4 linked regions of the Notamacropus eugenii genome follow. The protein of the gene in region 3 interacts with the protein of the main gene of each other region in a pairwise test. Links are inferred from orthologs where the notes say so. Each region holds a gene or a part of one and is shown on either strand. Other genes may lie near its edges. The genes, in order: SEC14L4, CCDC33, USHBP1 and CCHCR1.

Region 1 (7,811 bases), about 46 Mb from region 3:
AAACCTAAGGAAGGCCTCCACCCACAGAGGAGGCCTCCTTCCTGGGTCAGGGTTTACACATGGTAGGTGCAGCCTTAGGGTTTGGCAGTTCTCAGTAATGGCTCCTCTAAAAGGGGGATTAAAAGATTGGTTGGAACCAGGGTTATGTGACTGCCAAGGATATGGAGGATGTCTGAGGCTGTGACCAGGGTTGGGGAGGAGGGTATGACCTCCCTCTTTGCTGCCCTGACTCTGCTCCACTTGGGGGTTGGCTTAACTTTTGGGCATTCCAGTTTTGGAAGAAGTTGACCATCTAGAGAGAATCTAGAAGAGGGCAATGAGGGTGGGAAAGGGTCTTGACCCATTTCATGAGGAACCAGAGATATTCAATCTGGAGAGAAGACTCAGAGGGAATGAGAATGTTGTCCTCATGTCTTAGAAGAGGGATTAAACAGTCTCAGCCCCGCTGCTGCCTCTGCCACTGCCCAGAGACCACTGAACCCTGCTTCTGTCTGTCTACCGCAGCTGCTCACTCATGAACATTCAGTCATGGATAAAAATGAGCTGGTGCAGGAGGCCAAATTGACTGAGCACGCTGAGAGATATGATGACATGGCAGCCTGCATGAAGTCTGTAACTGAGCAAGGAGCTGAATCATCCGATGAGGAGAGGAATCTTCTCTCTGCTGCCTACAAAAATGTAAGGGCTCGAAGGTCATCTTGGAGGGTTGTTTCAAGTATTGAGCAAAAGACAGAAGGTGCTGAGAAAAAACAGCAGATGACCTGAGAATACAGAGAGAAAATTGAGACCAAACTAAGAGATATCTGCCATGATGTACTGTCTCTATTGGAAAAGTGTTTGATTCCTAATGCTTCATAAGCAGAAAGCAAAGTTTTCTATTTGAAAATGAAAGGAGAACACTGCCGATGTTTGGCTGAAGTTGCTGCTGCTGATGACAGGAAAGGAATAGGGATCAATCACAAGCCTATCAAGAAGCACCTGAAATCAGCAAAACGGAGAGGCAACTGAGGCATCCTGTGAGATTGGGTCTGGTGTTGAACCTTGTGTTCTACTACAAGATCCTGAACTCTCCACAGAAAGCCTGCTCCCTTGCAAAGACAGCTTTTGATGAAGCCATTGCTGAACTTGATACATTAAGTGAAGAATCATACAAAGACAGCACACTAATGATGCAATTCCTGTGAGACAAGTGGACGTTGTGGACTTCGGACACCCAAGGAGATGAAGCTGAAGCAGGAGAAGGAGGGGAGAATGAACCAGCCTTCCAACTTTTGTCTGCCTCATTCTAAAATTTACACAGTAGACCATTTGTCATCCATGCTGTCCGACAAGTAGTTTTTGTTTACGATTTATGACAGGTTTATGTTACTTCTATTTGGATTTCTATATTTCCCATGTGGTTTTTATGTTTAATATTAGGGGAGAAGAGCCAGTTAACATTTGGGGAGTTATCTGTTTTCATCTGAGGTGACCAATATGGGGATATGGAATTTTCATACACGTTTTACATGTTTGGCATATACATTGTGATTTCACACGGCCAGTGTTAAAACAGTTTCCATGTCTAAGCAAAGAAAACTGCCTACATATTGGTCTGTCATGGTGGGGGGATAAAGGGATAATTGGTTCCAGCCACAGGTGTAGTTATTGTGGGTACTTTAGGGTTGGAGCACTCATGGCTGTGGTAGAAAAGATGTCCCATAGATATTACATGTCATTCCCTGTGTATCTGTGGAATACACAATCTCAACATGAACACCTTTATGACTGCAGTTGCAAAAGTGTTCCTTAAGACAAAGTTTTAACCCAGTCCATTTACTCTGGAGAAGGGCAGAGACGGTTCACATCCCATTCTTTGGAAAGTTACCTGCTGTTTGCTTTCAGTATTTTTGCTACACTCATTTTATTTGTATTTACATGGTTTAGGCAACCTAAGGCCAAATGTACAAGTAAAGATGCAGTAAAAATGAATTGCTTGATATTCATAAAGTCACTATATCAAGCACAGCAGTAAAACAAAAAACCCACGTATTTAAAAAAAAATGAAGAGGGATTAGCTGTGTTTTGTATGTCCCCAACGCACAGAACTAGAACCACTGGGGGATGGTTTGCTGCTGTTCAGCAGTTTTTCAGTCATGTCTAGCTCTCCATGACCCCATCTGGGATTTTCTTGGCAGAGTGGCTAGAGTGGGTTGCCATTTTACAGATGAGGAAACTGTGGCAAACAGAGTTAAATGACTTGACCAGGGTCAAACAGCTAGTAAGTGTCTGAGGCTGGATTTGAACTCAGGAAGATGAGTCTTCCTAACTCCAGGTTCATCAAGCTTTCTACCCAGAAGAACTGAGCACCAGTGCAGTGGGCTGCCCTGGGACAGCTGCACCTCACTGGAGACCATTAAGTAAGGCTGATGTGAAGGCCATAGTACATCTGAATATGGTATACTAAATCTCTAGGAGTCAGTCTTTCCAACTCTGGCATTTGGTGATTCTCTGACCTGGAAGGGGCATTCGTGACCATCTATCCATAACCTTTATTTTACAGGGGGATCATCTGAGACCCCAGCTTTTCACTCCTTGCTACAGAATAGCTTTCCAATGCTCCACCATCTTGTGTGTTCCATGCACATCAAGATTTTTTGGGAGAAATACATCTCCTTGTGGAAGATTCTGACAATGACCTCAATCACCCTCCCACTGTTTATTTTGACCAGTATATCTGGGCTGAGACCTTGTTTGTAAGTCGGTCTCTCCAAATTTTGGGGTTTTTTTTTCCAATTTATGCCATCCCTCCCTCCCCTCAACCTGCCCTGGCAAGCAATGTGAGGTCAAATCTCACCTGTGCCATGAGCCTATGGTGGTGACATCTGGACCAGCTTCTCCTGGATGGCTCTTGATGCTGTCTCCAATCTGGGTCTGGGGATATTGCTTTCTCCTGGTTCTCCTTCTACCTAGACAGATAGACTTCTCCTTCTCAGGGGTCCTTTGCAAGATCACCTTTTTTGACAAGCCTCCGAAGTATGAGTGTGTGGCTCAGTCCTCCATCCTCTCCCCACTCTCCCTCTGGGCGATCTCACCACTGCCATTTAATCATCATCTCTCAGTAGATGATTCCCATGTCTACATAACCAGTCTGAGTCTCTCTCCTCAGCTCCTGGTCCATTATCTCCAATTGCTTGCTGGACATTTTGAATCAAATATCCTTTGAACACCCTGGACATCTTGACAGAGAGTTTCAAACTCAGTGCATCCAAACAAAGCTTGTCTTTCCCCAAACTGAGCCCTTTCCCTAAGCTCCCTGTTGTGTTGAAGGCAGCAGCACCCTACCAGTCACCCATACACAAGCTTGGCTCCCACTCTTGGCTCCTCCTCTCCCTCATCCCACACATCCAGACAATAGCTGAACTTTGTCATATTGGCCTCCATGACTGTGGTCTCCACTCTCACAACCACCGCCCTCTGCTCCTCCTGCTTGGCCTCCCTGCCTCAAGTCTTTCCATCCTCCATACCTCTGCCAAGGTGATTTTTCCCAAATACAGCATGGATCATGTTATTTCAGCTACTCATTCCAGTGACTTCCTCTGTTCCCTACATCACATACAAAACTCCCATATTTGGCAGCCACTGGTACAGGATGACCTCACTTCAAATTCAGGATCATGTATTTACTAGCTGTGTGACCCTGGGCAACTGTAAAATGGAGATAATAGCAACCACCTCCCACAGGCTTTGTAATGGATCAGATGAGACAACATTTGTAAAGTGCTTGGCATTTGTCTAGTAAATACTTGGCATCTTCCTTCTCTCACAACCATCCATGAGGAAGGTGCTCACCCAGGCACTCCCCACAGGTTCAGGACCCTATCTCAATAACAAGAGCAGCAGTTTATACCTCCAGAGTGCCCAACACTTTCTAAAGGGTTTTCTTCACAACTAACTGACAAGTAGACAGTTTTATGATAATCTCCCCATTTTACAGATGGGAAAATTATACCATCCATAGCTGTAATATGCTTGAACCCATTGGTGTCTTCTCCTGGGGATTCTTGGTCATGTCCTAGTTGGACTGGTGACTGTCGAGGGCCCTTCCAAGCCTGTAGTTCTGTGAAGGGACTTCAGTTCTTGGGACATTAGATTTAAAGTAGGACCAGACAGGTCACCTAGTTTAACCTTCTCATCTTAATCACTTTTAATTTACATTAAACTAACTGCTAGCTAACTTTATGTAGCACCTGAAAGTTTGCAAAGCACTTCCCATATGTTAACTCATTTCATTCTCACAATCCTGGGAGGTAAGTGCTAATAATATTCCCATTTTACAGATGAGGAAACTGAGGCTGGGAGAGCCTTAGTGACTTGCCCAGGACCACACAGATTATAGAAGTCAAGACTCCAGCGCAGATCTGTGTTCAGGACTCTTGTCTACTATAAATATGATAATAATAATTTTTGTCTTCGCTACGTTAAACCTCATTTGACGGATGAGGAAACTGAGGCTTCTGGGAGACCTCTGTGCCTTTTGATCTGAGGGGTAAATAGTTAGAAACCTTAGTCTGTACCCTGGCTGCCTCAAGAATTAGGTGGAGGCACTAAGGAGCTGGCAGGCACAAAGGTGGTTCAGCTGGCACCAGGAGGTGCCAGCTGAGGTTGGGCCAAGGGCTCCCTAGCTCCTCCCTGCCCCTCAGGCCACACCCCAAACCCAATTCTGCCCCACTTTCCATCCAGAGAAAAGGCTGTCCTAGTGACACAGCAGAGAGACTTCTCCCTGTGAGCACCATGAGTGGCAGGGTTGGGGACCTGAGCCCTCAGCAGGAGGAGGCGCTGGCCCAGGTGAGCCTGTCCCCCATCCTTCCCCTTCCCACTATCCTCACGCCCCCCCCTCTAAGGCTCCAGCCCCATCCCTTCTCCACCTCCCTGCCTCCAGCTTAGACAGGGCAGAGAGTCCTAAAGCTAGGGACAGAGGAGTTGGGTGGGAATTCTGCCTTTGCTTCTGGGAAGCTGGGTGACCAGAGGAAGCCCCTGCCCCTCTCTGACCTCAGTTTCTCCCTCCATTCAAAATGGGGGATGGTCTACAAGTGCTCTAGGGCCCCTCCCAGCTAGAATTCCATGCTCCTGCCCTCCCCCTCTGTTTGTAGCCTCACACACCCAGAAGGGACCTCTGAATCCACTTAGTTTTCTACTTAGGAAACTGAGGCCCAGGGAGATTAAATAACTTGCTCAAAGTCCCTTGGGCAGTGTCAGGGCAGTCCTCTGACTTCAGAACCACTGCCTTCTCTGTGGGCCCTCTCATACTGCCTCATAATCCTGGGCCTGGGGGCTCATGAAGAGCTGGGGCAGAGAGGCTGGGCTGGCTGTGGGACTCTTCTCCCCAGGGAGTGGGGAGGCCATGGGGCAATATATCCTCTCATATCAGGACCTGGGCAGGGCAGCTCCTGCCCCATCCAAAACAATAGTTGGGGAGGGGCCTCAGGGGAGAAGGAGGAGTTTGGACTCCCTGGGCCTCCTGCTCTCAATCTAGTCTCCAGAAAACTTTCCTGGGGGTCCCCCCACACCCAGCCCCCCCTGGCATGGATGCCACTGGGGTTCAGAGGCTGCTCAACTCTTGTGGTCCCAGAACCAAACGAAAGTTCATCCCAATGACTTTGCTTTTAATCAGTGCTCTCCTCGGACACCTCACCATGGCTCCAAGGATGGCTTAAGGGCCCCAAATCCCTGCTGCTGGAGCCCACTTCTGAGAGGTCCCATAGAGTTTGGAAGGCTGGGGGCATAGCCCCAAGGCCCAGCACAGATGCTCAGCATGGTCCCACAGCAGGTGGCGCCTGGGTCCAGGTTCGAGCTCAGCTCTCCTGACTCCATGATCAGGGCTCCTCCCATTCTCCTGCTGTTTATAGAGGCCAGGCCACAGGAGACTCCCCAAAGGCCTCATGGACCTTTCCCCACTTAGCTCTTTCTTCAATTCCTTCATTCAGCTCCATTCATTCATCTCTTCTTGGGCTCCTGTTCATCACCTCTCTAATAGATATGACCTAGGGGAGAGAACTCTGGGATTTGGGGACAAAGGGTCATGATGCCCATCCCTGCTCAGCTGCATGTTGGCTGTGTTGGCCGTCTGACCTGGAGGAAGCCAGCTGCCCTTGCTCCTCCTGCTCCCTCAGAGGGCCTGCTTTCAGGGCCTTGGTTTCTGGTCTATTACATGGTAGCTCTGAGGCATTGATTATCTAGGAAAGATGTCATTAGTGATGAACTTCCCTATTAAGTTGACAAGGGATGGAGAGGGGAGTGGGAGACTGAGACCCAAGCTTGGTCGAGCTCCTCAGGTGTTCCTCAATTTCCTGGCTTAGCCCTTGGCTCTGGAGACCAGGGGAATGGTCCAGGTGGATCCCAATGAGCCTACTGACTAAGCCTCAGTGTGACCCATCTGGGTGGGAAGGAGAGAATCCCTCTATAGGGATCCCTTGGTGTCATGTGTCCTAGCCTATTTTTAAACCAATTAACATACATGAAGGTGTAGAGAACCAGATGCTGGCTGGGCATGGAGCCCAAAGAGCAAGTTTTAAGCCTCACCTTTACCACTAACTAGCTGAGTGGTCCTGGGCAAGTCACAGAATTGTAGAGTTAGGGGGGGACCAGGGACCTCCACAAGAATCCCCTCTAGACACCAATCAGCCAATCAACCAGCAGCCTTTATTAAACGTCTCTGTGCTTAATCACTGTGTTTGGTGCTGGGGATACACAGCCAGAAATGACCTCATCCCTGCTCTCAAGTCAGGCCCAGCAGAGGGTGTGCACAACCTAGACTCAGGAACATGGGAGTTCAGATTCTGCCTCAGACACTTCTTAGCTGTGTGGCCCTGGGAAGGTCACTTACCCTCTGTTTGCCTCATTTGACTCATATGTAAAATGAAGGGTCTCAACTTGATGTTGTTTGTAAGGTCCCTTCCAGCTTTAAATCTGGGCCATGACTATGGCTTATATTCTTTTAAGGGGAGATAGATAGATAGATAGACAGATAGATAGATAGATAGATAGATAGATAGATAGATAGATAGATAGAGGTATATGCACACATATAGACATATACACACATTTATATATATATATATATACATATATATACAAACATACATACACCACACACACACACGCACACACACACACACAGACACACACACACACTCACAGTGTCATCCAAGTGGTTACTCAGTGCTAGCTTGAAGGCACTGAGTCAAAATCAGCCTCTTTGAACCTTCCCCTAATCTCCTTATCCGGCCTTCTGGGGCTGAGCCAAATCAAACTCATGAAATCCCTCTCCCCTGTGGCAGAATCATGTGAAGACAACTATCATTCTCCCCTTCCCTCTCCCTACTTCTCCAATCTTCCCTCCTCTGGGTGCAATACACCCACTTCCTTCACTGATCTTATGACCCTTTGCCATTGAGTTGAATTGAGGTGAGTTGACTAATGGTGCCAAGGCAGGAATGCAGGCCCCATGGATCAGGGCCAGTGATCTTGACCCCGTTGCTTCTCCACAGTTCCGAAAAAATGTCCAGGATGTGCTGTCCAACCTGCCCAACCCTGATGACTATTTCCTTCTTCGCTGGCTCAGAGGTGAAGGGGGTGAGGAGGAGGGGTTGGAGACATAACCTGGCTAGAGGTAGGGTAGAGGTGGGCTAATGATGATAAGACCTAAATTATTCCCTACTCCCCTACCTCCCAGGGGACTTGTGCAACAAGTGCCTTCTGAATATTAAAATACAGCCAAAATGGGGGTTGTTGTGATTGTTTTCAAGATGGAAATGATCTCCTTTGATCCT
Region 2 (7,226 bases), on a different chromosome or scaffold from region 3:
GTTCTGTTCACTTCACTTTGCATCTGTCCATAAAAGTCTTCCTAGATTTTCCTGAAACCATCTCTTCATTTCTCACAGCACAATCGTACTCCATCACATTCAAATACTGTAACTTGTTCAGTCATTCCGGAGTTGAAGAGCATTCCCTCAGTTTCTAATTTTTTGCTGTCACAGAAAGAGCTGCTATAAATGTTTTTGCATGTTTGGTTCTTTTTCTTCTTTCTTTAATCTTTTCGAGGTATGGAATGAGTAGCAGAATTGCTGAATCAAAGGGTATGCAACATTAACATATGTAGCAACATTTGGAGCAGAGTTCCAAATTTGGGCCTATGTAAGACACAGTGCCTAGTATATGGTAAGCGCTTAATAGAGCTTGTTGACTAACTGACCTGTGGAGCAACTACCAGACAACTGAAGGGAGTTTATAATCAATTGATGGAGTTATGGTCAACAAGGGCTGTAAGAGGTCAGAGAAAGGTGGGGTCAGTGTAGCCTAGAGAGGTGAGAGAAGCACTCCTGGAGAGTCAGGACATGAACTTGGCCTCACAGGATAAGCAGGATTCAGAGCAGATAAAGGTGCATCCTAGATCATGGAATCATTCCAAGACTCCAAGAGGACTCATGTAGATAGTGAGGAGACTGACCTGGTGAAAATGGAACATTTATATTGGTGAGTAGCTATGGTTGGACCTCAGTTTTACAATCAATAAAATAGAAAGAATTTCATCTACCTATTTTTTTAGTTAGGCTATGGGTATCAAATGAAAAAATTTAGGGAAGAGAGGGACCTTAGAGACCATCTAACCCAACCCCTTCATTTCTCTGATGAGGTCACAAGGTCATATAAACAACAAACAAGCAAGCCAGGATTTGAATTCAATCCTTCTACACCAAGTCCAGGACTCTTGTCATTATATGACACTCTAAGTCTTTGAAATAAACTCATGGATGGGAAATGATGGGAGGGATAAATTACTAAAGTAAAAGCTCTCTAGCAGCCCCTATATTTATGTTGTCCAGGTAACCCAGTCCTATTCTTCTGTTCAATATTAGTTTCTATTGTCCCCATTTTCCCTGTAGATCCTGAGAACACAGGAGTAGTGCAAAGCTGGCAGATGATTGGATCAGAGAGGTACAGGAAGACTGGCTGCTCCCAAATATCTTCTTTACCAACTGCCTTCTGTTCCTGGAGAGGGGCGGGAAGAGGGAGAGGAGAGGATATTTTATGTTTGTTTATAAATTCTATTTTATTTTATTTTCAGTTCCAAATGTGTTTCTTTCCCTCCTCCTCCCCCACCATTGAGAACAAGACAGAAGCATCTACCATTCTTTGACCTCTGAGTTTTAAATTTAAAATAAGCAAATATTACATGGGGTAGAAAAATATATAGTTATTATCAGTCCTTAACAACTTGGCTGGACTTAGTTCATCAGATTAACCAAAGCTAAAAGCTAAGCCCTGTATCCTTGGAACACAATCTGAAAAGGTTTAGGAGAAGAATGGAATGGGAGAGATGAGAGGGAGAATGAGGAGAAAGGAAGAAGGAAAAAGTCTTGGGGTCCAGTCAGGAGTGGGCCTGGGGAAGTTGAGGGGTAGCAGCAGGCAGATACTGGAGCCATCAGGTTAAAAGGAAAAATGGAATGGAAAGTGGAAAGCAAATCACCTATTTCCTGGTTCCCAGTAGGGCAACTCTTGTTCCCATTGATCCATGGACCAGGGAAACTTTGCTGAGAAATTCCTCTCTGCTTATTGATACTGAGTAGAGAAGGAAGGAAGGGAAAGGGTAAGGGATTAAGTAGGACTCGCAAAACCAGAGAACAGTGTCTGAGCAGAAGGCAGATCCTTGTCTCCTTGATTAACAGCATCAGTCTGGTCCCCCTCAGACTGTTAAAAGCCCTGCTGGTGGGAACATAGCTCTCTGCTGGATAAGCAACTGGACCTTTGACTTTCCTAATGGGCCAGCCCTGTGACCCCAAAGAAGAGAAGGTGTAGGCAGAGTTAGCCTTTAGAAGCTAGCCATTCTTCCCTGAGTAGTCTGGACATAACATCTGGATGTTGTCGCTGTTTGTCCTTCATTCTCAGAGGACCATGACACCAGGAAAGTGATGCTGTGACTTGCAAATGAATTGGATTTAAGTGACAAGGGCTGTGCACCAGCTTCACTTTCTCCTCCACAGACTTCTAGGTCCAGTGGTCAGATATAAATCAGATAGCCCCCATCAGGATGGGGAAGAGAGTCATTGGAAGGTCTCATCCTTCTGAGGAAATATCAACAAACATAGAATCATGGGCCGAATCAGCACGATTTGCCTATAGGGAATGAGTGAGAGTGGGGAGTTCAAGAGCACTCCAAGGTTGGTGTGGATCTCACCCTTGTTACTGGAAGATTATTAGCACCACCTCAGAAGAAAATAGGAATCTAAGAGGAAAGGGAAAGTGGTGGGGAGTGGGAGTGGGAGGGGGGCAATATATTTTGTACTTCTCGAGTTTGAAGTACCTATAGGACATCTAGGGGCACATATCCAGCAAGGAGTTGGAGATGCTGGACCGCAGCATTTAAAGCTCTTCCTGAGCTGCCTCCTCCTTTTCCAGACTTCTTACACCTTATTCCCTTACTTCCCCATCCCTTCACTTTGTCTGAGATCCAATGACACTGATCTCCTGTCTATTCCTCAGACTGGCCACCCCCCCCACCCCATACCTGGAACATACTCTCTCTGTATCTCTATCTTCTAGACTCCCTGAATTCTTTTGATGCTCAGTTGAAGTCCTATGTTCTACAAGAACTTAATATTAATCTTAATGTCTATCAAGAAAAATCTTCCTGAGCTCACATCCAGCCTCAGATGCTTACTAGTTGGGTGATCCTGGGAGAGTCACTTCATCCTGTTTGCCTCAGTTTCCTCATCTGTAAAACGAGCTGGAGAAGGAAATGGCAGACTGCTCAGTATCTTGGTCAAGAAAATCCCAAATGGGGTCATGGAGAGTCAGACATGACTAAAATGATTGAACATGCACAATTCCCTTTGAGGTTACCCCCAGTTTCTATCTTATTTGTACCTAACTTATTGGCTTGTCTCCTCCATTAGGCTGTGAGCTACATGAGAACAGTCATTTTTTTAACCTTTCTTTGTATCCTCAGTGCTTAGCAGAATGCCTGGCATATTGTGAGCACTTAATAAACTCTAATCGACTAAATGAAATTCAAGAAAATGATGAGAGCTTACTTTGTAGATATTAGAGGCATCTGCGTAGAAGGAAAGAGAAAGGAACCTACTATGTGCCAAGCACTCTACAAACATTATCTCATGACCCTCACAATAACCCTAGGAGGTGGGGGCTATTATTACTCCCATTTTATAGATGAGGAAACTGAGGCAGACAGAGGTGAGGTGACTTGCCTACAGTCACACAACTATGAAGTGTTTGAGGCAGGATTTGGACTCAGGTCTTTCTGACTCCAGGCCTGGTGCTCTATCCACTAGGCCACTAGCTGATGGTTGAGTCCATGGGGCCTAAGGAAGTCACCAATGGAAACTATAGAAAGGAGAAAAGTGAACCCTGATGTTCCTGTTCACCTGGGGGCTGGGCCATGGATGATGAGCCTGTGGGGGAGATTGAGGGGATTGGTCAGATAGGTAAGAAGGAGGGTCATAAAAACCTAGGGAGGAGAGAGGGGCCCAAAAGCATCAAATGCTCCAGAGAAGTGAGAAATCAAAATAAGTCAGACATATGCATTGATTTTGCTTCCCCAGCCCAAATATAAACTTCCGAAGGGCCAGGAGACATCAGTCTTCTTATTAATTCTCCAACATCACTAGCAAGTGGTCACCCCAATTCTCCTTAAAGATCTTGGTAACAGGGAACTCACTACTTCCTAAGGAAAAGCAGCTCCTCTTTTGGTCAGTGATAATTGGAAGAAAGTTCTTCCTTCTATTAAGCTGATCTCTGCTCCCCTGTCCTCTCTTCCCATATTCCCATCTCCCTCAATTTCTATCCTTTGCTTCCAATTCTGCCTTGGGCAAAGCAGAGTAACTCTGATCCTTCTTTCATATAACTACCTTCAAGAGTGAACTCATCTGTACAAATAAGGGGGCTTGAATGGAGGACTACCAACTCTAGGACTCTAACATCAAATATTAACAACTTACAAGTCTATGAGTGGGTGGTTTCCCTGTGCTCTCATTTACCTCTGACATCACATAGCATCACTATGGCAACAGAACCAACCCCCAACCCCTCAGGGGAGGGAAGAGTAGGTTCCCCAGATCTCCGTGAGAGCAGGGAGACAGTGTCACCCCTTGTCATTCATGGGGGGACGTAAAGACTAAGGATGCTTGGCTACTGACCCTGCCATACCCCCCCCCATTGACTGCCATGTCTGTGGCCCCTGATGGCATTGCCAGACCTGGAATGCCCCTACACTAAGGAAGACATCCAGCCACAGTTCTGCCACGTCCACCGCTGTCTCTGGCCACCAGAGCCCAGTGGACCACACAGCCTCTAGCTATTGCTCAAACCTACCTCAGGGGATGTCCGTGCCTGTGTCATTGCTCCACAGACTTGGAGACATCTGTGCCAATTCCCAGGTGGAGTGGGACTGATTCTAGTTGACCCAGAAGTGCCAGACATTAGCACGCAAGATTATTAATTGAGCAGGAATCCAACAAGAAAGCTTCTACTCTGAAAGAGAATGGGATGGAGCAAGAAAAGGGTAAGCCTATTATCCATTAGTTCTGTGAGTTTCAGTTTTTCACTTCCCCACTATAAGCCTCAGTTTTCTTATCTGTAAAATGGAAGAGACAACAGATAACTGTACCCATCTGGTTCTAATATCCTACCAATCCAATGTGTGCCTAATACAATAGGGTGGTCTAACTTTCAAGTAGCAAAATCATAGGGCCAGAAAAGTATCTAGAGAATTTCCCCAACTCCCTTTTCTAGCCTAGGATTGAAGAACTCAGGCAACAAATAAGTCTTTACTGAGCACTTCCTATGTGCCAGGCACTATGTGAAATGCTGGGAATATACATACAAGCAAAAAGTAAGACAATCCTTGTTCTGGAGGACCTTACATTTTTTTAAATTTAAATTTTCAGTTCCAAATTCTCTTCCTCTCCACCCCTCCCCCACTCATTGAGAAGGTAAGATATACAACACTCATTATACATATAAAGTCATGCAAAGTAATTTCACATTAGACATGTTGCAAAAAAGAAAAAAAGCAAGAAAAATAAATTAAGAAAAAATATGCTTCCATCTGAACTCTGAGACCATCATTCCTCTGTCTGGAGATGGATGGCATTTTTCATAATGAATCCTTTTAAATTGTTGTGGATTATTTTATTGATCAGAGTAGCTAAGTCTTTCACAGTGAATTATTGTCACAATATTGCTGTTACTATGGGCACTGTTTTCCTGGTTCTGCTTACTTCCCTTTGTATCAGTTTATGTAAGTCTTCTCAGATATTTTCTGAAACCATTTCCTTCATCATTTCTTACAGCACAATAGTATTCCATCACAATCACATACCACAACTTGTTCATTCATTCTCTGAGCATCCTCTCACCTTCCAGTTCTTTGCCACTACAAAAAGAGCTGCTATAAATATTTTTGTGCATGTGGGTCTTTTTCCTTTTTTCTTAGATCTTTTTGGGATACAGACCTAATAGCTGCTTCAAAGGATTTTATAGATCTCTATAGATCCCAAATTGTTCTCCAGAATGGCTGGATCAGTTCACAACTCCACCAAGAGTATATTAGTGTCTCTGTTTTTCCACCTCCTTCCAGCATCTGTCATACGCCTTTGCTGTCAAAATTAGCCAATCTGATAGGTGTGACATAGTACCTCAGAGTTGTTTTAATATGCCTTTCTCTAATTGTTAGCGATTTAGAGGATTTTTTCAGAAGACTATAGATAGTTTTGATTTCTTCTTCTGAAAACTGCTTGTTCATATCCTTTGATCATTTATCAATTGGAGAATGGTTTCTTGTTTTTATAAATTTGACTCAGCTCCCTATATATTTGAGAAATTAGACCTTTATCAGAGAAATTTGCTGTTAACAAATTTCTTCCCAGTCTCTTGCTTTCAGTGTCTACATTGGTTTTATTTGTGCAAAACTTTTTTATTTAATATAAACAAAATTATCCATTTTATCTCCTTTGATCCTCTCTGTCTCTTTTTTGGTCATGAATTCTTTCCTTATCATAGCTATAACAGGTAATTTTTTTGTATTCCTCTTATTTGCTTATGGTATCAACCATTATGTCCAAATCATGTCCCCATTTTGAGTTTATCTTCATATATAGAGTGAGATGTTGGTCTATGCCTATTTCTGTCATTCTGCTTTCCAGTTTTCCCAGCAGTTTTTGTCAAAGTGAGTTCTTGCTCTAATGGCTGGGATCTTTGTGTATATCAAACACTAGATTATTATGGTTGTTTATTTTTGTATATTATGGACCTAATTTATTCCATCAATCAGCCACTCTATTTTTTTCTTAGTACCAGATTGTTTTGATGATAATCACTTTGTAGTACAGTTTGAGAGCTAGTATTGCTAGGCTCCCTTCCTTCATTTTTTCATTGATTCTCTTGATATCCTGAAACTTTTGCGCCTCCAGATGAATTTTGTTATTTTTTCTAGCTCTTTACAATAATTCTTTGATAGTTTGATTGGCATGATATTGAATAAGCAAATTAATTTAGGTAACTGTCATTTTTATAGTACTGCTCAGGCTACCCACAAACAATTAATATTTCTTCAATTATTTGGATTTGTCTTTATCCGTATGAAGAATGTTTTGTAATTGTGTTCATATGAGTTCCTATGTGTGTCTTGGCAGGTATATTCCCAAGTGTTTTCTACTGTCTACAGCTAATTTTAAATGGAATTTCTCTTTTTATCTCTTCCTGTTGGGTTTTATTGACATTATGCAACTCTACCTCACTTAAATCCAGTTTGTGCACTGGTCAAGACATCACCCCATGGTGTCATTGGTCTTCTTTGAAAGCAAAGGACCAGCAACAGATAGATACTACTTATCATTTTTTAAAAAAAGCTCCATTTATTCCTATGCTTTCTGTTGTTTTTAATGGGAATGGAGGTTGCATTTTGTCAAAAGCTTTTCTTACATCTATTGACATATGATTTTTTTGTTGTTTTTATTATTAATATGGTCAATTATGCTTATAATTTTCTCAATACTAAACTTTTCTGGGAGTT
Region 3 (7,722 bases):
AAATGATAAGCAGAGACTTCAGAACAACCTGGAAAGACTTATATGAACTGAGGCTGAGTGAAGTGAGCAGAACCAGGAAAACATCATACTAAGTAAAAGCCACATTGTGCGATGACTGACTGATAGACTTAGCTCTTCTCAGCAATGCAGGGATTGAAGACAACTCCAAAAGACTCACTATGGAAAGTGCTAGTCATGTCCAGAGAAAGAACCTTGGAGTCTGAATGCAGATGGAGGTAGACTATTTGCTCTCCTTTTCTTTTGTTGTTTCATTTTGTTTCTTCTTTCTCATGATTTTTCCCATTAGTTCTAATTCTTCTTTACATCATGACTAATGTGAAAATATGTTTAATATGAATGTATAAGTAGAGCCTATATCAGATTCATGCTGTTTTGGTGAGGGGGGAGGAGAGGCAGAGGGAGAAAATTAAAAACTCAAAATCTATGGAAGTAAATGTTGAAAACTAAAAATAAATTAATTATCTTTAAAAAAAAAAAAAAAGGAAAGGTGCTACAATATGTTCTACAATTTTTTCTGGAACTGAGTAAAGCTCAGTGGCCCATTGGAAATCAGGACATTTGCCTTTCTCCAATCCTATAAGACTGATCCCTTCTTTTCTCCCAGAACTTTTAGTGATCACTGACAGTGGCTCAGCAATCATATCCGCCAACCCTGTTCTAGAATGTCATCAGTAGAGACAGGATATAGTCCATTCACATCTGGCTTCTTGAACTCATTTCTCTCAGGGATCTTGCCTTTCAATAATCCACTTACTATTTTGTTCTATCATTCCTAGCCTCCCCATTTCCATTCTCCTAGTTCTCTCCCCATTCATGCTTCCCAAATTTTTTTCCCATTCTGATTCTTCCAGTTTTTTCTGATTCTCATTTCTTCATCCTTACCACTCACTCCCCTTAGATCTGCCCCATCTTACTCTTCAGTTCTAACAACCTTACTTCCCTCCCTGTTTCTCATCCCCTCAAGTCTCTCCCTCACCCCCTATTCTCCTCCCTCATTTCCTTCCTTCCTTGCTTTTGGTCCTAGGGTGTGTAGGGAACACATGCCCTTGGGGAGGAAACTACACAATAGGGACCCACGTGACAGGGGGGAGGTGGTATCCTACTTCCCTGAGTCCAGCCCCCAGTCTTTCCGGCACTGGCTTGACCAGCTGTTGACAGTGATGGTCCTATTAGTAGGACTGGTGGCCTGGGCTTTCACTCTGTCAGTAACAGGGAGCCCTGGGGGAGTCCTGGTCTCCTGAAGCTTTCCTTCTCTTGATGACCCCACTGTGAGCCAGAGGTACCCATTACACCTGGGAGGGTCTGGGGGTCCTGCCTTAGCAGTGGGGGTGGTGATCTCCCTGTCCTAGCTTTACTCTTGGCTTTGGGTATCTGGATCCCCACAGGCTTTGTTAAGAAAAGGGAACAAGGGTGATGAGGGACTGTGTCAGGCCCTTGGTATGAGTCTGATAAATGCAGGCAGGAGGGTATCAGTGAGCTAGGATCCAGTATTTTCATCCACTGCAACTCTGGTAACTCCCGGGGTAATGAGGCTGGATAGAATGGGAGCTCTGAAGTCCCAACTCACTCACCCTTCCTAGAAGGATAAGTATCTTCCAGTCAGATGTATACTGGGGCTCATGCTGGCTGGGTCTGGTTTTGGAATCTCTTCTCAGCTTCTAAAAGCTCTCTTTCCCTTCTGACTCTGGGCTCAGCCCCAGAACTTCCAATGGAAGGTTTTTCAAAGCTTTGATATTTACCATCTGTGTGACCTTGGGCAAATCACTTCCCTAATCTGATTCTTAGTTTCTTCATCTGCTAAAGGAAGGGCTTGGTCTAGGTAGTGGTTCCCATCCTTTTCAGGCATGAAAAGCAGTGGCATTACTGGCATCCATTATGCAAGATGAATTTGTATTTTATTAATCATTATGTATATTTTAATAAGTGATATGTGTATATATAAGCAAAAGTATTTGTTTAGCCTGCAGAAGATAAATTGTTTGCTCATTTGTTACACTGAGACAGTCCTTCCATGACATGGAGCTTTTGCATTAACTCTGAGATTGACAGGAGTCTGCAGCCTGCAGATCAAGAACCACTGGGCCAGGAGATACTGATGATATCTCCATGAACGGTCAACCTGTGGCACTAGAAGGGACCTTAAAAAGAGGTCATGTAGTACACATTGTTTTACAGATAAGAAAACTGAGGCCCAGACAGGGAAAGTTACTTGCATCAGGTCACAGAGAGAATCAGTGGCCAAGTTAACTTTAGCCATTCCTAACTCAAGATAAAGATCTCCTCAAAGGACCATCTGAGCTATCAAAACCTAGCATTTATGTATGCCCAGTCCAGAGCCAGGCATCCTGTGAGGTATGGGAAAAGACAGGGGAAAGGAAAGAACTAGCTCTGCCCTTGGGGAGCTTGTTGTAGTCAGGCTGGGGAGATGAAACTCCCATGGGATGTTTTGAGAATCATGTAGAAGAATATGTCTCCTCCTCTATCTCTGCCTGCCAATATCCTGCCCTTCCTTCTTGTCTCAGTTCCAAAGTGATCTTCTCCAGGAAGTCTTCCCTGTTCCACCCCACCCCTATCAGAAGTGATCTCTCTCTCCTCTGAGACCCTATCTAACTGTCTTGTGGTCTTGCCTTGTATTTCTGGGCATAGAAGAAAAAAGCTATTTTCCCAGCTAGACAGTAAGTTCTTAGCCCTGTCTCTCCCATAGTCCCAAGTAAATGTATGTTGAAAAATGGGAGGAAGGAATGCTGCTAAATGTTAGGTAGAGGAGGAGACAAGGAGAGAACTTGGAATTCTTGGCTAAGGAGTTTAACTGTTTGTTCCATGGGTGATAGGGAGCCACAGAAAATGAGAGGAAGGGCATGACCAAAGCTGAATTTTAGGAAGATTCAACGTTTAAATTTAATAAGCATTTAAATGGCATTTATGAGATACAATGAGCCGGGTACTGGGGATACAAAGACAAAAAGGGACCATTCTGCACTCAAAGAGTTTGCTTTTTTGTGGGATTCAGTATGTGCACAGACAAGTTTAAAGAAAGATGATTTAAGAAGGAAGAGAATACTAGCAAATGGTTGGACTGGGGAAAGTTTTCTGGAAGAGGATGAAATGAAATAAAAGCCTTTATTAAGCATTTACTATGTACCAAGCACTATGCTAAGTGTTAAGAGACTGGAGGGGGAGAAGCTAGAAGCAGGCAGGGGGACTAGCTGGAGACTGATTGGTATAGGAGGACTTTGGAAAGAGAAGCACATCTGCTGAATTCTGGAACTGGGAAAGCAGACAGTGACGAGGGAAGCAATACACCCTTATCAGCAGTCAGAAATGCAGGTAGGTGAGGCATGGGGTTGCATGGGGCAGGTAGCGATCAGATGTGAGGATGAGCAAAAGATTCCCAATTTGGATAGAAAGGGAGGTTGTTAGAGCAGGGATTCTTTTTTTAATTAATTAATTTTTGGTTTTCAATATTCACTCTTATAAGATTATGAGTTCTAAATTTCCCCTCCTCTCTCCCCAAGATGGCACACAACCTAACATACGCCATACATGTACAATCATATCAAACGTATTTCTACATCAGCTGTGTTCTGAAAGAAGAATCAGAACAAAAAGGGAAAACCACGGGAAAGGGGAAAAAAGGAGAAAGTAGTCTGCTTTGATCTGCATTCAGACTCCATGGTTCTTTCTCTGGATGTGGATAGCATTTTCTATCATGGGACTTTTGGAGTTGTCTTAAATCACTGTTGTGGAGAAGAGGTAGGTCTATCAAGGTTGGTCATCAAACAATGTTGCTGTTCCTGCATATAGTGACATAGTTCTGTAGATTAGGGATTCTTAACCTTGGGCCCACGGACTCCCTAGGGGTCTGCAGATATATTCCTGGGAGACCATGCATTTACATATACATATATGTGTGTATATGTATATATGTATGTGTGTGTGTATATATATATACACACACACACATACATATATAGACAACTGTAAAAATACAGAGGATTACAAAGGAAACCAATTAAATTGCATTTTTATTTTATGCATTGAAAAACATTATTCTGAGAAGGTTTCACCATATGTTTCACCAGACTAACTTCCAAAGGGCTCCAGGACACAAATGGGTTAGAGTATCATCTATCAGAGTATTACATGTAAACTTCCTTCTAAGACCTCTGCCTGCCTTTTCCAGGGATTTCTTCTATATTTCTTGCTGGACCAGTGACTGATATCACATAACCTAAGCTCTCCCTAAGCTGACAAGTATGGTAAAGTAAGTAGCTGTACCAGGTAAGGAAGAGAGAAAGAGCTCTAGTCTGATTCTTTCACAATGTCTGGTTGGAAGACTCAATGTAAAGACTTGACTTGATGAGTGTAGCTGGGTAAGGAAAAAAGATGATGGGGAGGTGCCTTTGAGAGTTCAGACTAGGGAGACTGAGAGTATGGCAGTGCTGGTGACAGAAACGGAAATCAGGAAGATGAACTTGTTTGGGTGCGGATGAGACACTAAGAACTAAGGTCCAACAAAACAAAGGTAAAAGGTCACAGGGCCAAAGTCTTTGGGATTCATGGCTGGACAGAAATAGATTGGGGGGATGTCAGCGGGGCCCACCTTCTCTCTGTCCCCCACAGGTCAGCTCCAAACCAAAGATGAGCAGCCGAGCTAGCAGACCCCGGAGCCGGCGGGGGAGGGCACCACCCCCAGTGAGTGATGGCAATCCATGGACAGGCCGAGTGTGGCCACCTCTCCCTCTGTCAGGCAGGGTGGGGTTGGAAAGAATGGAAAGGCCCCTGGGTTACCTTAACTCTGGAGGCCTTTCCCCACCTCTCAAGCTTTAGTCTTGGGGCCTATTTGCCAATCTGAAACCCTCATCTTCCCAGAAAATTCTGAACCTTAAGTTCTGCCCAATGGAGGTATCCCCAGAATTCCTTGACCAGAGTGTCCCCTCCATGACCCACAATACTGACATAGGATGTTAGTCCACTGGGGCTCAGAACCCCGTGACCAAGGCTAAGGGTGCTTGCAGGGGGAGCTGGACCCTGTGGTGGAGAGCACTGAAGAGGCAGACACCATGGGAAGCAGCGTTGGACCAGAGCAGGCACCCAGACTGCCCAGGGAAGAGTCACTGGCAGAGCACCTGGTCATCACTGCAGAGCCCAGCAGCCAGAGTGACTGTCTACAGCTGGACAGACCCAGGTAGGACTGGGGCTGGGGGGCAAAGGGCAGAAAGGTATGACCCCCTGTCATGTCTTACTGCTCTGAGCTCTGACTTTACAGGGAGAAAGCTGGCTTATAGGCTTCCTAAAGTTTCTCCCAGCTCTGACTTCATGTACTCTGTTCCAATGTCCCTTTCCAGCTCTGCCATTTCATGTTCTGAGGGCTCTCCCTTCTCTGACACTGTGTTCTAACATCCCTCTCAGCTCTGACATTCCCTGTTCTAAGGGCCCTCCCAGTTCTGATATCCTGGGTTCTAAGGGTCCTCCCAGCCCTGATACTCTGGGTTCTAAGGGCCCTCCATCTCTGACAGTCTGTGTCCTAAGGTCCTTCCCAACTCTAACAGTCTGTGACTCAGGAAAGAATTTGACTCTTCTGGAATGATTTGTAGTTGTTGGATTTCTGCTTTTAAAGGACACATTATTGGTCATTTCTCTGGTTATGTAATCACAGAGTCTCAGCTTCTGAAGGACTTTTGAAGGTCAAAAGGTTTAACTTTTACCTGGTGCTGAGGAGCCCTTTGAACACAGAACCTCGTGTGAGACAACATAGCTAGCAGCGATTAAGCACGCGTGCGCACACGCACGCACACACACACTTGCACACACACAGACACAGACATACACACACAGCTACACACACACATACACACACAGACACAGACATACACATACACACACAGCTACAGACACACATACACACACAGACACAGACATACACATACACACACAGCTACACACACACATACACACACAGACACAGACATACACACACACACACACACACACACACACACACACACACATTGGGCCTTGGAAGAGACACTAGGTTTCAATAAGGAGCCCACAATACAGAAAGGGACAAGTGTCCTATAGGTAGTCGCAACAGGGAAAGGGGTGGTGATGGGACCTAGGATTTTATAGGTGAGGCAGCACCAGCTGAAGAACTTCCTGTACCATCACACGTGGGGAAACATCTTGGCCACGGGTCATCTTGAGGAGTTTCCTGGAGCATTGGGGAGTTCAGTGATTTTCATGGAATCCCAGAGCCAGGATGCAGAACGGAAAGGATTGTAACTCAGATCTCCATAGGCAGCTCACCGCTGTCCGCTATACCACAGGACCTCTAGACGGGCGATAAGCAAACACAAGTTTGTATAATTATGGTACCTGTATGTGCCCACATACACACGTATGTGTACCTACCTACATATATACATGTACCTACATATACATAAAATAGTTCTAATAGAGTATATTTACAGAATCTTAGAATATATAACATAGGAATATATAGAATAATGGGGCATAGACTAATATAGAATATGGAATCTTAAAATATAGCATCTTATATACAATATAAAAATACCTAGAATAATATAGACTAATAAAGCATTAATATAGAATTTTAAAATATAGGTATATGTATTTATAGCAACTTAGAATATACAATTGATATAAAATGAAAGGTAATCATTTGTTGTATTATAGTTATAAATGTATACACATATACTTATAGAATTTTAGAATATGTATATATATTCATAGGAACTTAGAATAGATATAATGGCTGTAATATAACACATAGGTCTATACATATACTTAAAGAATCTTAAATACATGCGATATAGAAACATAGAGAATGACAGACTATAGTCCAGAAGGGATTAATATAGAATCTTAGAATGCATACATGTGTATATATGTATATATATTTAATTGGATCTCTACATAGAGAGAGACAGATACACAAGAAGCACCAGAACATGGAGGAGAAAGGCTCTGCCTCTGAGCCAGAAGACAACCCCTCACACATATTAGCGGCATGACTCTAACCAAGTCACTCTCTAAATGCAGAGAGGGAGAAAGGGGGCTAACCTCTATTAACAGAAGGGAGTTTCTTCATGGAGGTATTCCCTACATCAGTGAAACCACAGATTCTCTCTCTCTCTCTTTCTCTCTCATCTCTTTCTTTCTCTCTCTGTCTCTGTCTCTTTTTAATCTCTCTCTCTTTCTGTCTCTGTCTGTCTCTTTCTTCCTTTGTATCTCTCTCTCTTTTCCTCTTTCTCACAGTCTCAGTCTCTCTCTTTCCTTTTCACTCCATTTCTGTCTCCCTCTCTATCTCTCTCTTCCTTTCTGTCTCTCCTTTTCTCTCATCTCTTTCTTTCTCTCTGTCTTTTTCTCTCTTTCTCTGTCTATTTCCCTTTCTCTTTCCATCTCTGTCTCTCTCTCACAAACATAAGAGCCTTGGAGAGTTATTTTTTTAAGTGCTATGTAAGGCCTATTGGGGAAAGCTCTTACCAAATGAGGGGCTGGGAGAGGGACAGCTGGGTACAAGAGAAAGAAATTTCCCAGGGGTGGTAGCATTTAAATTTGATTTTGAAGAATAACTAGGAGTCATCTGGTGGTGAGAGAGAGGGAAAACATTCTAGATGAGGGCAGAGTGAACCAAAGCACTGAGGTCAGGAAACACAATGCATGTCCAGGGGGCAGGGA
Region 4 (7,847 bases), on a different chromosome or scaffold from region 3:
CTACCATTTAACCTGAGGCTGTTTCCTCATCTGTAAAATGTGGAGAATATTTATTACCTGAGTGAGTTATGAGGTAGAAGCTCTGTAAATTTTAAAGTACTATATACTTTTCTTTCTTTCCCATGTCCACCATTCCTCTCTTCCTCCCTGCTTTTGTTCTTATCACCCCTCCAGTTTTTTTCTCATAGTCCCTGCCAACCTCCTGTTTCTTCTTCTGTCTCTGTCTCCTAAGACAGAAGATATTGGACAATCTGTAGTGTTGAATGGTGAATATGGCTTATCTGGGCTGGAGATTTTCCAGAGCCTTCTCTCCCCTTCCTCTCTTGGGAGCACTCCCTCTGTCTTCCTGAGCCAGAAAAAACTCCTCACAGCTCAATGTTACCTCTGAGGTTAGGCCGGTCCCCCCACTTACCCACTGGGAGTGACTGGAATCTTCATTCCTCGAGGCTTCTTTCTGGTTTCGGCCTGAACTCTGGGAGGGCTCTCCTCAGTTCCCCCCTCATCCTCTAGCTCAGCCAGCACCTTGTGTGCTGACTTCCGACGGTTCCGAGGGGCTGGAGGTGGAGTGGGAAGGGTGGCCCCTGCCTCCCTAAAGGTCACTGGAAAGGTCAGGCCCTGACCTTCACCCCCAACCCTGGAGAATGTAAGGGGCTGAGGCTGGAGTTTGCTGAGGCTGCCAATGGAGCTGAGGATCAGGGTGGCCTTAGGAGCAGGGGAGAGAGTGCTGAGAGGACGCTGTGGGGCCCCCAGAGGGGGCAGCATGGGCCAAAAACCACCTTCACCTCCTGATTCTCCCTCAGCTCTGGGGACAGTGATAGCAGCAAAGTCTTGGGGTCGGACTCTGACACGCTGGAACATGAAGTAGAACTCAGGAGGGCTGGCTCCCACAGGCCCCTTAGGGCCAAAGGTTAGGAAATCACCGTCACTCAGTTCCAGTTGGTGACCCCTGGGGAGCCTGACATTGTTGACCAAGGTACCTGTAAGTAGGAGAGTGGAACAGAGAGAGAGGGAAAGAGAGGGAGAGAGATAGAAGGAAAAACAGATGAAGAGAAGAAAGGCAGAGAAAGGAAGGCAAGACAAAGATAACAGTCAAAAAGTCATGTAGGATAGCCAATTTCCTAAGGTGAATCATCCTCTCCTCCCATTTCAGCTTCACTCAGATCATAACCTCAAGCATTTTGACAACAGGGACTGTTTTGTAAACTGTTAAAACTAAAAGGGGCTTTAATCATTCTTTTAGTGCAGGGAAAGGGACCAGCCCAGAGTTCCATAACACACAAAGTAAGAAACAAGCTGGAATTTGAATCAGGACCTTGATTCTATAAATGATGAGTTCACAGGCATAACTAGGCATTCTCTCTAGTTTCCTATCCTGCCTGGCTCCAGGTAAACTGAAGGGATTGGCTCCCCCAATCATCTCAGCTCACTGCTCCTGGGGGTTTCCTAACAAAGTTAGCACAGAATGGAAAGAGTTAGTAATTCTTCCCCTGTCCTTTTAAAATCATATTCTGTAAAGACTCAGTCTTCACTGACAATAAGAAACCAATGGGGCTAGTTAGACACCCAGACCTGTTCCAAACAGGGACAATCTTAGTTTTGGGATTCCCCCCTCCCACCAATAGGGACCTTAGGGCTTCCCTGAGGCTTCTGAGACACAGAAGAAACCTCCTATTTCTTTTGGGTCAAACATTAAAAAATCTTCTGGATCAAAAGGAACCTTTCCTGAAATCTATTGACAGCTAGATGACTCAGTGGATAGGTTGGGAGTTAGAAAGATCTAAATTAAAATCTGGTCTCTTAAACTGTGTGACCCTGGGCAGATCACTTAATCTGTTTGCCTAAATCCACTGTAGAAGGAAATGGCTATTGCAAGGGCCAAGAAAACCCCTGGATAAAAGTCCAGAGGGCATGAAACGTCAGACAGCTAAACGGTTGAACAACATGGTCAGGCCAAAGTAACAAAGAAAAATACTAAAGCCTTGGGAACCTGGACTAATAGTGAGCAGCAGAGGGAGTGTACCTTGGAGATGTGATCTTAAAAAGTCCCTATATTTATTTAATTTCATTGCCAACTCCTGGAAAACCTGTGCCAGAGCTTCCCTGCCTTTTCTCTTCTCTTCTAGAACTGAACCCCACTCACCCCCTTTTTTCTTGCTCCGCAATAAAATTGTTATCTTGTGTACAGTTCCCTTGGGACCTGTTTTATACTTTCCAAGGTGAGCAAGCTTGCTGATCTGCTAAAACACAGGCAGTGTGTATGGAGTGTGAAAGAGTGAGCTCTAGTAACCTTTTGACGATTACTAACTATGTGACCTTGGGCAAAGCATAGTTAGTACCCAGTTTCTTTATTTGTATCCCCTTACCTAGTAAGCAGTCCCTGTAACAAAGATTATAATATTTACCCTACACTTCACAGGATTGCTGGTAGGAAAATGACCAATAAACCTTAAAGTGCTATAGAAACATGAATTGTCACTTAATCTGAATCTCAGAAAACTATAAAATGGGGAAACCTCACACAATTGTTTTAAAGATCAAGTGACATGGGATAAATGCAACAATTCTGTAATAAAATATAAATATGGAACTAATCTCATAACTCAACCATGGAATTAATCTGCTCTGAAAGGCTTTCATCCATATACACACATATCACATATAGCACATCACCCTAACAGACAGCAGGTACCTTTTGGAGACAACTTAAGTCTTTTGATCTTTGCTGTCTAATCTAGAGGAGGAATCTGAGTGGCAATGACAATTGGGTCCTAGGGTACTTCTCAAATCATACCATACCTATTTATACCTATCTGCCTAAAAAGAGAGCCAGCCACGTCCAGGCTCACCGTAGCTACTGCAGTCCTCCAGGCTGACTCTCCAGTCGTCACCTTGGCTTTCAGCATGCAGCTTGGCATGGACCGGGGAGATGAGGACAGGCTCACACTGGGGCCGAAGGGCCACATCACACAGGTCAGCTCTGAGGCCCAAGTGGTAGGTACAGCCAGCCCCAGTGGGAGGGTGAAAAGTATAGAGATCTCCACCCTTCCCAACCCCCATGCGAAGCAGCTGGAAGCAGGGCAACATGGGGGGAGGGGCTTTCCCCTATGGACTCCCTTCTAAAGTCAGGGAATACATAGCTCTTTCTACCCTTGGGTAATTAAAAATGGAGAGATGTTCAGATGCAAACTTGGAGTACAATTCTTGTGCAATTCGGTTCAGTACAACGAAAATTTGGAAGGTATTCAGCTCGCAAACCGAGGGGGACAACTTGGCCTTGAAAGAAAAAAATTAAGGTGTCATCCCCGGTGCAATGCAAAACTAGGGAAGATGTATCAGGCTAAATTAAGGACCGGCTCGTAACCCGTGAAACTAACTAACACCCGGAGTATTGGATACTATTGTATACTCAGTTGGTACAATGTAACAGTAGGGATCGTAATGAGGCCGGTTTCCACCACTGTTTAATAATAACTTAGTTATTCGGTGCAATTGGGGGCGAGGGGGCCCTTTCTTTCAAAAGGACTTTTCCAGAGGTCCTCCCCCCGCAACTTTCCTGGCTCAACACCTCACTCTTGTCAGGGGGCTTAAGAACCTTTCAAGGTGATAAGACTGCAACCCCGGAAATGCGGGCTGAGGATCCCTATTTCTGGAGTAAAGCGAAGCAAGATCCCTTACCTCCCTCCCCTCTGGAGTGCAATGCAAACCTGGGGTCCTACTGCTTCCGAAGCAATGCAAACGCGGGTCCCCCCAGCCCGGGCAGCCTAATTTCGGATCAATCAGTGCCGGACAATCTCAGCGTGCCGTGCCCCTCCCTCAGGCAATACAAACCTCGACCGAGGAGGCTAGGACCCCAGTCCCCCCTCCACAGGACCCCCACCCCACCCTGTCCCCCGCGCGCACGCTCGGGCTGAAGTTTGACAGGGCTAGCAAAAGCAGAGGGCTCAGGCAGAAGCCGGGCCCGGAGCGGAGCTGGGCGGAGCCTCCGAGGACAGGCGAGCGTCCAACACCTTCGCAAACTCCCCGGGCCCGAATTCCGCGCGCCTCAGATACCCCGCCCCCTCCCGATGCCATTTCCCCATTGGACAGTCCTCATTCCATCGCCCAGACCCCATTGGGCGGTAGTCAGGAAAGGCACAAAAAGGACCCGGCGCGACCGCTTTCTTCGCTTCCCGATTGGCCATTGAATTTTCCCGGGTTTCAGGGAAAGGAGGAGGAGCTCGGTGGGGAGGAGGGATCTGTAAGGGCGCGGGGATAGGCCGAGTCCCTGGATTGGTTCACCATATGGACGCCACGGCGCTTGCGTGTCTCGATTCGTCCTCCCTCCCTCCCCATTCCGAATGAAGTACGCGGGTCCCGGAGCCCGCCGGCTGGCCCGCTCTGCGCAAGCGCGGTCAGTCTGTGGAGGGCGGGGTACTTTGTGGCGGAGGTGGGGCAACAAGGGGAGGGTGGGGTCTCGCGCTGGGTAAGGGGGCACGAGAGTGAGTCAGTTGAGGGCGGGAAGGGGTGGAGGGGGGCAAGGGAACGTGGGCACTAGGGAGCTGAGGGGGACAGGGGCAGGGCAAAGGAAGTGCTGGAGGTCTGGGGCCGTGGGGCGAGGGGGCACCGAGAGACGAGGAACGGGGCGAGGAGGGACACGAAGGGCCCGGGGAAGAGGGAGCAGGAGCTAGGGGAGGCTTGGGGGAAGCGGGGGCGCTGAGGGGCGGCCAGAGAGCTGCAATTGTGACGGGACCCGGGCCGAGCAAATTAGAGGGAGGGAGGGGGGAGCGTAGGACGGGGAACAAAGTGGGTGAGAGAGGGGGCGGGGCACGGGGGTGCAGGAGAGGCGGGGAGGAGGGCGGCTGGAGTGGATGGTAAGCGCCATAGAGAGAGAAAGTGAGAGCATCAGGGTGGGATGAAAGACAAACTAACAGGGGCTAGAGATGAGCAGAAGGCCCCACATGGGCAAAGGACTGTTAGACTTCCTGCTCACCCAGGAAGATGGTTCCGAAAATTGCTTTGCTGTTAATGGTAACTCGAGATCTCTGCATCTTACAGACTTCGTCTGGTGCCAAGCAGTATGCTGACTCTTTGATGGGGAGTGGGAAATCAGTGTTGGGAATAATGGTGGGGGGGAGGGGATTAACCCCCGGGGCCACCCTGAGCAAACCATCCAGTGGAGCTGCTTCCCTAGCCCTTTAATTCCGTACGTGCTCACTCACCTTCAGATCACAGAATAAGAAAAGTAGAGCCCAAAGGGGAGAGAAAGGCGCTACCCAAGTCCTATGAATGCCATGTAGACCTTCAGGGGTCTGGAGGCCTTAATCCTAGATCCTGCTTCCCTTAGAAAATTATTTTTTATCGTGGGTTTTGTGTTATGGAGTCTCTTATCAAAGCTAGGTGGGAGCCAGCCACTGATTATTTCATAGATGTTCCAGTTTGTCACTTTCAAAAATGAGGGTGATAGGGATGGGGAGGGGAAGGAAAGAAATGATAACTGGATAGATGTTAAATTACCTAAGGAATTGGCAAGGTTATCATAGGATCTTTCCCAGGGATTGGTTGGAACCTTGGAAAATGAATTGGAGCTTGAGGTGTTTCTCTTGCTCCACAGGAAAAAATGGATGGCTGGAGAAAGAACCTGGAACCCCCATCCACTTTTGGGATGTTCCAGTCTTCAGGTAAAAGGGATAGGGATGGATTATGGAATTGGAGATTGCATACCCTATTTCTATACCTTCAATATTGACCTTTCTGTCCTCTGCTTACTCAGGTCTCACTGGGCTCATGCCTCCATCTCATTTCCAAACACGGCCCCTTCCAAGCATGTCCAGGACCACTTCTGTCCAGTCCCCACCCTTACCCATAGTCCTGCCTTCACCCCATCACGGCTATGATAACAATGATCGTAGATGGGAGCATCATAGACTACAAATTTTGAGAGAACAAGATGGGGCAGGTGATAGTGAGGATCCCAAAAGAAGGACCAGGTAGGGATCTAGTTATTCTAGCTTCTGCCTGTAATTGTTCTTCACTTCTGTGTTAATTATTTTTAAAAGTTTAATTGATGGATTTTTCTTTTATTTTCCATTAATTTCCATATATACCCTTCTCTCCTATCTTACCCCACAAGCCTTCCCTTGTAAGAAAGATAGAAAACAAACAGTTCTGATTTTTTAAAATTCTGTGTACCTTCTGCTTTTGTGTATGAAATTTGAACTGTATTATTTGATCTTTTGTATTTTTTCTTGTCTCACGTGTATATCCTGACTCTTCTAAATTTAATGTCTTAATAAAATTATTGATTTTAGAGTGGAGTTACAGGCAGGTCTATCTTAGATCCTGTCCGCTACTGTTTTTGCTCCTGAATTACCAAAGGACTTTGTTATAAGGCAGCCATGGATTCTGAAATAACATTGTGATGATATTAGAGCTGTTTCTCAAGGACTGGGATCATGTCTTTTATTTTTATTGCCTCCTCTCAGAAGGTTTAGGAGAATTTATACCGTAAATGCTCAATAAATTATTAACCAGCCCCTATTCTTGTCACATTAGAACAAGAGGATCCATTGCCTTCTCTGCCCCTACCTCAGGTTGGAGTTCAGGCTCCTCATTCTCTCAAACCAGAGCACAGAAGACTGAGTATCCCTTCCTTTTCCACCTCAAGCCGAACTCTTAGATTCATAATGTCTTCATCTACTTGTGAATCAGATATCCTAGCACTCATTGTACCATTCATGAGGTACACTTAATTGATGCAACTATGCAATAGATGCAACTGTTATCTTTTTACGTATGTGAATGCCTTCCCTCAACTAGGATAAGGCCCGTTAAGTACACTTAAAGGTATAGATTATGGTACATACCTTTTTGTATCCCCAGCATCTAGCTTAGTATCCTACACATAAAAAGTGCTAAGTAAATGTTTAAGGAGTAGATCACAGAATCCTTACTGTTTCCAGGTTTTGCATCCTCTTGTGTGTCTGACTGACTTCCAGTTTCCCCCGAGGCACCCTTTTCACTTCCTTATCCTTACATATCAGATCAGAGAAGTCCTCATAACTACCTAGATGGAAACAGAGCGGCCCTCTTGTCCATCCCTTTCTTGTGTAAGACCAAAGAGGCCATATCTCACCTATAACTTTCCCCAAAGGTCCCTGGACTATGTAGGGCCACAAGGCTTGAATTCCCGAACTGAAATGATCTCTCAACAACTGGAAGAGATTCGGAGACTTGAGATTGAGAGCCAGGCTTTGCGGTTGGCTTCAGTCCATCAGAAGGCTCATCTGGCAAGCCAGGGTGAGGAGCTGGAAGTCTTAGGACAGGCAAAACAGGCAATGCGGGTTGAGGTGGAGGAGCTTCGTGCTGCTTTGGCTGGGGCAGAGCTCATTCGGAAGAAATTGGAAGAAGGAAACAGACAAGAGCTTGAAGAGACTCAGAGGGTGCACAAGGAACAGGTGAATGAGAATAAGAAAATACTAGGTGTTAGTTGGGATTTGTCTCAGTTCCACATGGTAGGGAATTAATCTGAGATAATCACTTTAGCAAAGATCCTTTGATATTCAATTAGAATAGTAATCTGCTTGGCCAGGAAGATGTTGAGAATTGAGAGTAAAGCAGAACCTGAAGGAAGCAGGCTGGGGCTGTTAGGATAGGGTTCTCTCCATTCATCCTCCTTGTTCTCTTTCCCCACTTCTCAGAATTCAGATATCCTGCTTCTCTCCCAAAACTTTCATTTACTTCTTAGTACTCAAATATTCTACCTATTTTCCTTTTGGAACTCATGTTAAAATGGACCCCAAACACTATCTGCCTAGAATATTGCTGTAGTCTCCTAACATGTCTTCTTCCATCACTATTCCCTCCCTCTC

Evidence for each region.
Region 1: the proteins of USHBP1 (region 3) and SEC14L4 interact in binary tests that used the Homo sapiens proteins (3 or more experiments, as listed by UniProt). The two-hybrid records come from large-scale screens. The link is inferred for Notamacropus eugenii from reciprocal best matches to the Homo sapiens genes USHBP1 and SEC14L4.
Region 2: the proteins of USHBP1 (region 3) and CCDC33 interact in a two-hybrid assay, tested with the Homo sapiens proteins (2 studies listed by BioGRID and IntAct). The two-hybrid records come from large-scale screens. The link is inferred for Notamacropus eugenii from reciprocal best matches to the Homo sapiens genes USHBP1 and CCDC33.
Region 4: the proteins of USHBP1 (region 3) and CCHCR1 interact in binary tests that used the Homo sapiens proteins (3 or more experiments, as listed by UniProt). The link is inferred for Notamacropus eugenii from reciprocal best matches to the Homo sapiens genes USHBP1 and CCHCR1.

What each region holds. Positions count from the first base shown.
Region 1 is NC_092875.1:14,838,600-14,846,410, forward strand, and holds the start of SEC14L4 (SEC14-like protein 4), read left to right. Parts: upstream 1-4,716; 5' UTR 4,717-4,773; coding exon 4,774-4,827; intron 4,828-7,529; coding exon 7,530-7,605; intron 7,606-7,811. UniProt on the Homo sapiens protein: Probable hydrophobic ligand-binding protein; may play a role in the transport of hydrophobic ligands like tocopherol, squalene and phospholipids.
Region 2 is NC_092872.1:242,199,004-242,206,229, reverse strand, and holds the start of CCDC33 (coiled-coil domain-containing protein 33), read left to right. Parts: upstream 1-4,211; 5' UTR 4,212-4,694; coding exon 4,695-4,715; intron 4,716-7,226.
Region 3 is NC_092875.1:60,746,872-60,754,593, reverse strand, and holds the start of USHBP1 (harmonin-binding protein USHBP1), read left to right. Parts: upstream 1-4,650; 5' UTR 4,651-4,662; coding exon 4,663-4,716; exon of another isoform or gene 4,717-5,039; coding exon 5,040-5,209; exon of another isoform or gene 5,210-6,352; intron 6,353-7,722.
Region 4 is NC_092873.1:85,013,142-85,020,988, reverse strand, and holds the start of CCHCR1 (coiled-coil alpha-helical rod protein 1), read left to right. Parts: upstream 1-4,822; 5' UTR 4,823-4,847; coding exon of another isoform or gene 4,848-4,850; 5' UTR 4,851-4,919; coding exon 4,920-5,054; exon of another isoform or gene 5,055-5,182; intron 5,183-5,590; coding exon 5,591-5,657; intron 5,658-5,749; coding exon 5,750-5,966; intron 5,967-7,129; coding exon 7,130-7,433; intron 7,434-7,847. Other genes in the region: TCF19 (transcription factor 19), read right to left, coding at 413-977, 2,847-3,084. UniProt on the Homo sapiens protein: May be a regulator of keratinocyte proliferation or differentiation.